Saccharomyces cerevisiae S288C: one gene and its partners. The gene in region 2 interacts genetically with the main gene of each other region. Each region holds a gene or a part of one and is shown on either strand. Other genes may lie near its edges.

Region 1 (3,763 bases), on a different chromosome or scaffold from region 2:
TTAACGTTAGGTGGTGGTAGAGGGAAAGGACATTGTTCTTTTTCATTTGCTGAGTTATTGTTGTTTCCGTGCATACTATTGTTATTATTATAACCATGGAGAACATTGCTAAAACCAGCAGAACCCGAACTATGGTTTTGGTGCTGCGATTGTTGTGATTGCTGGTTAAATACAGGTATAGAAACATTTCCTTGTTGTTGGAAAGTCACAGCTCCATTGAATAACTGCTCCTGTAATAAAGGCTGTGGTTGCAAATTGTTGTTTTCTAAACCCAATGGCAAGCCTTGAGAATTGAGAAGAAATTGTGGGGGTTGTTGATGCATAGGTAAGATTTTGGCAAATGAAATTTTACTTGGTGCTCCAATCATAGATACCTCCTTGCCCTGTAAACTATCTAAGGCTTTTACGGCACTTTCCACGGAAGAAAATTCAACTAAAGCCATGTTTAAATTCCTTAAAGTCCTAGCAGATATGACTTCACCATATTTGGAGCATAGGGTTGCCAAGGAAGTACTTGTTAAGTTTATCGCGTTATTTAATTGTGGCTGCTGGTGCTGTAGGGGAAAAACGTTGGAAATAGAAATGGTATTTGTGGGTAAAAGGTTCGATATTTGGTTTATTGATGGTACAGTGGGGTCCATTGTTACCCAATTGATGGATTGCGGATCTATTTCATCAGCAATCAATGGAGATTCCTGTGTTGGAATAGTATAGTGCGATGAAATACTGGCACGAGCGGGCTGTTCGTACAGTGGAGCGTCGGTATATATGCTAGACGCGTTGGATTGAGATCTCTGTCTGGTATTTGACCAAACAGAGTTTGGGATAGCCAAGTTATTCGTATTCATCTTATTATCTGCCATTTGGCTTCCACTAGTAGATACCATGTTGTCAAAATATGCAGTTTTTGTCGAATAATCGTTGAGCGTGTTTGAATTAGTTGTATTATTGCTTGTCGTAGGTTGCAATTGTTGCAAAAGGTGCTGTTGCATGGGATCGTTCGCACTAGCATTTGAAGACCATATTCCGCTCGAAGTACGAGGCTTGGGGGCGATTGATGAAATGGAAGTTATCTGAGAAGACATTGTGTTGTTTCTCGTCCTCGAGATCTGATGTGGCAAGTTAAACGAGTCGCTAGATCCTCGGGGGGCAGGAATTAAGAAGTTATTACTCGAGTCAGGAAAATGCACCAATTTTTCCATGTCTTGAGGAGGGGTTAAACTGCCAGGTCTATCCATAGTTACACCGTCTATAGAACTTTCCATCATCTTACTCCTGGAAGGGCTGGCCCTTGGTGTCTTGGACGCCACCGTAGATTGGGAACTGTTGTTGCTAGAGGAAAACTCAGCACCGTTCTTTCCGTGACTATTTTTCTTCGAATGGTGTAACTTGGCACTGATGGAGGGCAAAAGGTTACTCAATGTATTAGAAAATTTTCCTGCTCGCGACCTATATGATCCAAGCTTTTGGGGTTGTTGCTGCAGTTGGCTATTACTCTCTCCATTGTTCTCGTATTCTTCCTCGTATATTGGGATAGTGATGCCAGGGTCAATCACCTCGGGGATGTTGGACAAGTTGTTGATGTTCATCTGCTTACTTTTATCCATCTTAAGAAGGAATAAATAGACGTTCACGCTCTTTCTCACACATACACACAAATCTCTCGAAGTGCCTCTTATTGTTTTAACTATTCATCTCTATGCGCCATTGGTCATCCTACGAGAAACGCCCCCCTTTGTCCCAATAATTGTCGGCGGGTAATTTGTCCAAATGAAAAAGAGACATTGTCGCGAGGAACGAATAGATGACCCGATTTGGAAAAAGGTAAACAACAATGAAATATTCCTCGAGAAAACAATAATGTTTATTTATGCAAAGGAAACACTTAGAAGGGAACATCTCCATTCACTAAACTTCGTTGGTTTGGTGTATATTTCTTTGATTCAGTCTGTGCAAGAAGAATTTTTTAGTTCATTAAATTATATAAAAACAAAAGTACAGAAGCATGCACGACGCAGAGAGTACCGTAGATTCTCTACTGAAGGAGATAGACAATGAAATGGAACAAACAAAGTCTAATATCACGCAAAATGGTTCCGAAGATACACCACACAACTGGAAGCTTCCGCTGCAGGAAATAGGCGATGATACCATGGAAATGTTGGTCAAACACAATACTAGGTCGAATGCTACAGAAAATAGTAGAGGTCGATCACCTTCTAAGATGTCTACCATCTCAAATGAAAGCCTTAATTTGGGTCTCTTACGTGTAAATTCGGAACTTGAAGAGTCTCCAGCCGCTGTGCATCAGGAACGGATTAAAAACTCTGTTGCCAACGGGGCACTTGGTCATGCCAATTCTCCCAAAGTGCTTAATAATCTGAAAAATATGGCACAAGATATAGATAAACTAGCCCGTGATGAGGAAAAGCCCGTAAAACTTAGCAGCTCTCCCCTTAAATTTACTTTGAAATCGACTCAACCACTGCTGTCGTATCCAGAATCGCCCATCCACAGAAGTTCTATTGAAATTGAAACGAATTACGATGACGAAGATGAAGAGGAAGAAGATGCATACACATGTTTAACACAGTCACCTCAAATATTACACTCTCCATCAAGGATTCCAATAACTAACGCAGTGTCGATTAATAAGCTCAATCTTGATTTCACATTGAATCCCAACGAATCAGACAAAAGTCTAGTATCTGACACCTCAGTTGATAGCACAGGACGAGAACTAGATACGAAAACAATCCCAGAATTACCATTTTGTATGTCATCAACGCCCGAAATGACGCCAGTCGATGAGAAATGTAACCTTCCAAGTAAATTGTTGAACACTAGTAACAATTCACATTCTGATTCAAGATCGCCAACAGCCTCTGTGGAGGATTTAAACATTTCAACGAATCTGCCGGGTGCTGATTCCAGCCAAAATAATCCAGTCACTACTGATGCGGATGCGCTTATTGAAAACGATGTTGTGCGGGACCTTCAACAGAATATGGAACATATCGATGATGCTTTTGATGAGAAAAAAGTTCTTGACGAAGGTTGCAGCAATGAGCCCGTTACCTTTTTGGGTGAAAATGACACTAGGTCCATAGTATACTCTAATAAAGGGACCAATGCTAATGTTCAAGAATTTTCACAGGAAGATTCTCTAGCGCACAGTGAACCCAAATTCAAAGATCTTAATGCTACATCGGATGACGTATGGAATGAAGACAAAGAAACAGACGCAAATATTTCAACATCTACAAAGTCAGAGGAAAGCTACATTGCTGACTATAAAGTAACGAGACAAGAAGACTGGGATACCAAAAAGCTTCATCAAGAAAGTGAACATGCAAATGAACAACCGGCAATAATTCCTCAAAAGGATTCTTCAGAAGAAACATTCACTGAACTAAATAATGAAAGTGAATTCCAAAGGAACTTTAAGGATGGAGAGGAATACCGAATCGTTCAACACGAGGAGAGCCTGTATGGACAAAGAACAAAGAGTCCAGAAGAAAATATAATAAATGGCAGTGAAATTGGTGTCGACCATGGAGAGGCCGCTGAAGTGAATGAACCATTGGCAAAAACTTCTGCAGAAGAACATGATCTTTCATCATCATGTGAAGATCAGTCGGTGAGCGAGGCTCGTAATAAAGACAGAATTGAAGAGAAGGAAGTTGAAACTAAGGATGAGAACATTGAAACCGAGAAAGATGAAAGTGAGTACCATAAAGTCGAAGAAAATGAAGAGCCGGAA
Region 2 (3,076 bases):
ATTTTTCAAGTTCTCCTGATGGCGCACATAAATCCATCATAACATGACCTTTACGTTTGACAGGATCATTGATAATTCTAGGCCAGGAATTTTGCGTGTCATCACCCAGTGATCCAATGTCATATTTGCCGTTCACATTTTCATTCCGTAATTTCTTAATTTCTTTCAACGTATTTTCGTCCTTATGTGATCTCTCGAATATTAAATAGGAGTAGTTTAAAATTTCATAGTCACGACCATTTCTTCTTCCCGTTCCTTTTAGCCTCGACGCATTTCCTTGAGAACCATCCCATGAAGTAGCGAGAAGTTTACCCTTCTTTAACTCTATACTGAATTTGGGACGCTTGATGCTTTTTTGAAAATTGCAGAACTTTAAGTCTTTACCCTCTTTATGAGTATAAAAGTTAGGATTTCCAACCTGTAAGGGACATTTCCTTTGATGTGGACAAGGTGCAATCACCTTCAGAAAATAATTACTGGAAATGTTTCCTAATTCAGCATCTTTTTTGCCTCTGACTGTTACTCCCCTAGACCAAGGTCTTGGTATTTTTCCGAATTCATCTGGAAAGTTTTCAGGTCTAAGCGTAATTTGCCTTGCCCTGGCTATAATCTCGAATCCCATTGGGTTGCCTCGTTCAATAATAACAATGTGGCCTCCAGGCGCTAGAATATTTAAGTAGTGCTCAATATTTTCATCCACCTGAATTGGAAATTGATTCCCGTCATGAAGAAGTTGATGCGTTAATATTATGAGGTCATATTCCTTAGATGCGGGAATAGAAGACCGCAAGTTAGTCATAATGTTTATCTTTTTTGTCATCACTTCTCCAATATGTTCATCCTCTTGAAAGTTTTTGTTCCGTCTATCTGTTTCCTGCTCTTTCTCTGTAGACACATTTTCTTCTACAGTATCGACCACCTCGTTAAGTTGTCTGCTCAAAATGATTTTGGCTCTTTCTTGCATCTCCGCATTCCCTAAAATAACGGCATCTTTTAGATCAGGTCTATAATTTGGGCCTAAAATATCATTCAAGGCAACTATACCAGTCGCTGGGCCATATCCAACATCAAGGATTCTTTGAGGTTTAAAATTATCAGGACCTACCCTTTTTTGTAATTCTTTCAGACTTTGGAAAATAGAACCATAATTTTGTAAAAAAATGGACGCTATATGTGCATCCACTTCCATTTTGGTTCTACAGGGACGATGTAATGAATTTGGTTCCTGAATCTCTTTGTAATAATTTGTAGCAACCCTTCTAAGATTATTGGGAATATGTACAGCCATAATATTATTGTTGATTGCTTTGCTTACATCAGGATTCAACTCTAATTGGTCCCGGTACGACTGGCCCTGAAGTGTTTTGGAAAGTAATCTGAGCTCTTTAGAATTAGTTGCTTGAGTGGTGCTAGCGGTTTCATCTCTGTACGACGGAAGAACATTGATTCCTCTTTTATTTGAGTCTATAAAATCCGCCAAATCTAACTTTGGTAAGTTTAAACTTGTGAACTTTGAGCTGAACCGGACATTTTGTGGTAGGATACTGAAGCATCTTTTCATCATTTTACCTAAACTAGACGGGCCACCTTATGTCCTAAAGTGTCAGAGGTTTTGCTGCAATACTGTTCTTAATTTTTCACCATTCACTTTTTTCATCTAGTGGCGGAAAAAAATAAGAGATATGGAAAACAAATATGAACCATCATTAAACTTGAAAAAGATGAGAAGAAAAGAAATAGTTAGGCTTTAAGTGTCTGTATTGATCAATTAATTATTACTTTACCACTGCTGTTTATTAGCATAATAGCACACGGGATCAGAATGCTTAGTAATACACTTATTATTGCCTGTTTATTGGTGATAGGGACAACCATAGCGCTAATAGCAGTGCAAAAGGCATCCTCCAAGACAGGGATCAAGCAAAAAAGTTATCAACCATCTATTATCATTGCAGGTCCTCAAAATTCTGGAAAAACGAGCTTGCTTACGCTGCTAACCACAGATTCAGTAAGACCAACTGTTGTTTCTCAAGAACCGTTATCAGCAGCGGATTACGATGGTTCCGGCGTCACGTTAGTGGACTTCCCAGGCCATGTCAAGTTGCGTTATAAACTCTCAGATTATTTGAAAACAAGAGCCAAATTTGTTAAAGGGTTGATATTTATGGTAGACTCAACAGTTGATCCTAAGAAATTAACAACAACAGCTGAGTTCTTGGTAGACATATTATCAATTACTGAATCTAGTTGCGAAAATGGTATTGATATCTTAATTGCATGCAATAAAAGCGAATTGTTCACTGCAAGACCACCATCAAAGATCAAGGATGCTTTAGAAAGCGAAATTCAAAAGGTTATTGAAAGAAGGAAAAAATCGTTGAACGAGGTTGAAAGAAAAATTAACGAAGAAGATTATGCAGAGAATACACTAGACGTTTTACAGTCTACCGACGGGTTCAAATTTGCAAATTTGGAAGCATCTGTAGTTGCTTTTGAGGGCAGTATTAATAAAAGAAAAATTTCCCAATGGCGCGAATGGATAGATGAAAAACTGTAATATAATTATAATTTATAACTAGATGAACGATAGATAGTTTAAAAACAAGCATTTAACATAGCTCTAGATTCCGTACGCAGAGAAAGACATAGTTGCATCATCGACACATGCAATATCAAAAGTAACTCTTTTTGACTGCTGGTGTAAAAAACACTCACGATGGGGGTCGAACCCATAATCTTCTGATTAGAAGTCAGACGCGTTGCCATTACGCCACGCGAGCTAATATTTGTTTGATGTTCCAGCAGTTATATGATCTAATTATGCGGGAAAATAATTGAAGATAAGTAGTTTGATGTATTTTTATTATAGTATTATATTTTCTGATTTGGTTATAGCAAGCAGCGTTTTTTTTCTTCTTTACCATAATCATTGTACCAGGAAATTTTGTTCATAATTATTGTGTTGATTGTCAATGGTCAAAGGTACAACTAATGAAGATTAAATATGGTGAATAGGAGGCCTGCTAGCCACCGTACATTTAATATGTCCGCGTGTTGGAATAAAAATCAACTATCG
Region 3 (3,146 bases), on a different chromosome or scaffold from region 2:
CTGAAACTCCTCTGATCAATATTTCTCGTTCTTGCACGAAATTTTCGTACCAGAGGATTCTTCTTGTTGGGAGGTAGGAAGCCTAGCGATATCCTCCTGTGAGTGTTACCGATACCCATACCATTTGTTCGGAGGGAAGGATGCACTTCTGAAAGAGTCTTTGACAAAATTCCAGCCATTTTTTCAACCTTTTTTTTATCCGTATATATTAAGGTATGCTATATGTGTATTTTCCAATGTTTAGTTTTTATAATAATACTTCTTCAGCATCAAATATGCTTGCTTATGTAAAAATACAATCAAGTTTTGTCCCTTGCTTGCGCGAAGATGAAAACTTCCTTAAGAAATATTCTGCATCGCGTGGAACCCATGGAAGAGGATAATAGCTGACAGTGATATTATGAAAAGATGCCAAATGGTTACCGTTTATAACTGTTACTGGTCGCGTCTCAAACGCCCTCTTTTTTCTCCTTGCATTTGCGTTTCTTTAGAGCAATTATTGAGTAAATGGTCTTGAAAAGAAATAGAAATATCCTTAGGCATTTCAGTTCATCTGAAAACATGCTCCAATACGGGCAAACCATGAACTTGTTGTTATGAAATTAATATACATATAAACCAAAAACATTGCACTACATACTTAAAGAGTGAATACACAGTAGTTTAAAAGACATCTGGCAATTTTTCAATGACGTATGCGTGACCGCCTACGCTCATCAAAGGAATTCCAGGGATTTTTCTAATTCTTTGTTTCAGGCCGGCATCGTTTGTAGCTACGATGTAACACTTATGTTGTAAGACTCGATGCACTAAACAGTCATCCGCGTACGTACCCTTGTGCGAACAGCTTAGTCTCTTTATTCTAGGATCTCGAGCCAGTTTCAAGGCGATACGGTACTTGGGGCCCAATTTTTCTAACTCTGCCATCACACAATCTGTGATTAACGGGTTACATTTTGCGAGTAGACAGTCCATCATTCCTCTAACAATATCGACTTTTTTCTGGATAGAAAAATTTATAAAATTGGTATCTATCAGTACTTGATAAGGTGGCTTTATAGCTTGATTGTATTGAAAGAAAAGTGCACTTGATACTTGTGGTATATTCCTGGTTAGCTCAGGGTCTTCTTTAGTTTTGATATTTTCCTGGTTTTTCTTCAATCTTTGGTCTTTCTTGGTGTTCAAAGTTCTTTTTACGAGGCCAAACTTTCTTGTTTTCTTAGCTTTACCCATAATTAACTGTTGTAGTATATCGATATTTCCGTTACAAGTCACTGTTATTGTGTGTTAATGCACAGTAATGTTTAAAGAGGCATCATTCAAGAATAGTAGCAAGCTGAAAAATTTTAGCCGTTCATAATGATACCTTTAGAAATATGCCAAATTTTTTTGTTATATCTTCCAGTAGGAACCGATAGTTTGAGTAATGTTTATAAAATCATTGCAAGTGAATAAGCAATTAATGGCAATAGTCCACAAACGATAGGTACATGAAGGTGGCTCACAATCAAAAAAATCAAGCTTTAAAATAGTGGATGTAGAAAAAATAAAGTGCGTCACAGACAGGATTCGAACCTGCGCAGGTAAAACCCAATGCCTAATTGCTTTTCTGAGGAAATAGCAGGCATCGCCTTAACCACTCGGCCACTGGGACTGAAACACTTTGAAGTGAAAGTGTTTCTAGTTTTCTATATCATTACTATGGTGAAAATCTATATTTTCTTGATTAGGAATAAAATCATGGAAAGAAGTGTTGGAATAAAAATTCACTATCGTCTGTCAACTAATAGTTATAGTATCAATATACTATCATATACGGTGTTAGATTATGACATAAGTTATGAGAAGCTGTCATCGAAGTTAGGGGAAGCTGAAGTGCAAGGATTGATAATGTAATAGGATAATGAAACATATAAAACGGAATGAGGAATAATCGTAATATTAGTGTATAGAAATATAGATTCCATTTTGGGATTCCTATATCCTCGAGGAGAATTTCTAGTATATTCTGTATACCTAATATTATAGCCTTTATCGACAATGGAATCCCAACAATTATCTCAAAATTCACCCAATTCTCAATTTGATAATTGTTGGGATTCCATTGTAAAGAAAATCGGTATTTCTACATTATAATATTACGATTATTTCTCCTTTTGTTTTTTATGGTTTTCATTACCCTATCACATTATCAATCTTTATATTTCAGATTCCATTAAATTTGATAACTTGGTTGATAGATGACAGTTAATTCTTTTTCCAATAGAAACAACGAAGACTTTTTTCTTACTTTTTGTTGATGTTTTTCAAGTTCTGTTTGACCCGTATTTTTCTACGTTAAAATCGTGATTACTTTACGAATCTTGTTTTCTTATTTTTTTTCGATCTATTTAATGAAATGTGGACAATGGCCCCTAACAAAAAGATGGCAAGGATTGAAATAATCCGTTTATACAATTTATATCCAATTATAGAAATAAAACACATTTGAAGAATGGCTTGGTGGAAAAGTTTATTACATTCTTTCTACGGGAGTTAAACCTAACAAGCGCATACCGTTGTATAAAACTTGTCTTGCAGCACCATATAGAGCCAGACGGGCAGTTGCTAATTCTTCAGTTTGACCAGCAACCCATAAGACGTCATAACAAGAAGAAACCTGGTGAGTCAATTTGAATAAATATGTGACCACGGTTGTTGGCTCGTGGGTTTTGATTGCATTTCTCAAAACATCGGGGTATTGGCCTAGCAGTCTAATCAACAGTTTTGCGGCAGGTTCTTTTAATAACGAAAAATCGGCATTTATCCATTTTTCTTGGGTGATACCAGAAGCATTTCTTTCAACTGATCTTAACCTTGAGTGAGCATATTGAAGGTATGGACCAGTGTCACCTTCGAATGAAAGCATTCTTTCCCATTTAAACTCGTAGTTGTTGATACGCTTACCTTGCATATCTTGAATCATGACGGCAGAGATACCAACTAAATCGGCAACTTCTTCTGGATGCTCAATTTGCGCGTATTTGTTCTCATTCTTTTTCATAACTTCGTGCATTTTTTCCTTAGTTTCCTCCAAGATATTATCTAAGAAGACAACAGTACCTTTTCTTGTTGACATACCTTGGACCATACCAAAGTTGACATGC

Evidence for each region.
Region 1: mutations in SRP102 (region 2) and JSN1 together harm fitness more than expected from each alone (negative genetic interaction), as found in Saccharomyces cerevisiae (one large-scale study listed by BioGRID).
Region 3: mutations in SRP102 (region 2) and FCF1 together harm fitness less than expected from each alone (positive genetic interaction), as found in Saccharomyces cerevisiae (one large-scale study listed by BioGRID).

The regions. Positions count from the first base shown.
Region 1 is NC_001142.9:596,730-600,492, forward strand, and holds the start of JSN1 (Jsn1p), read right to left. Parts: upstream 1,608-3,763; coding exon 1-1,607. Other genes in the region: BUD4 (Bud4p), read left to right, coding at 2,006-3,763.
Region 2 is NC_001143.9:159,779-162,854, forward strand, and holds SRP102 (Signal recognition particle receptor subunit beta), read left to right. Parts: upstream 1-1,822; coding exon 1,823-2,557; downstream 2,558-3,076. Other genes in the region: tRNA methyltransferase RSM22, read right to left, coding at 1-1,564. UniProt on the Saccharomyces cerevisiae protein: Component of the signal recognition particle (SRP) complex receptor (SR). Ensures, in conjunction with the SRP complex, the correct targeting of the nascent secretory proteins to the endoplasmic reticulum membrane system.
Region 3 is NC_001136.10:1,149,288-1,152,433, forward strand, and holds FCF1 (rRNA-processing protein FCF1), read right to left. Parts: upstream 1,234-3,146; coding exon 664-1,233; downstream 1-663. Other genes in the region: YDR338C (uncharacterized protein), read right to left, coding at 1-179; YDR341C (arginine--tRNA ligase), read right to left, coding at 2,516-3,146. UniProt on the Saccharomyces cerevisiae protein: Essential protein involved in pre-rRNA processing and 40S ribosomal subunit assembly. Required for the early cleavage steps of 35S rRNA at the A(0), A(1), and A(2) sites.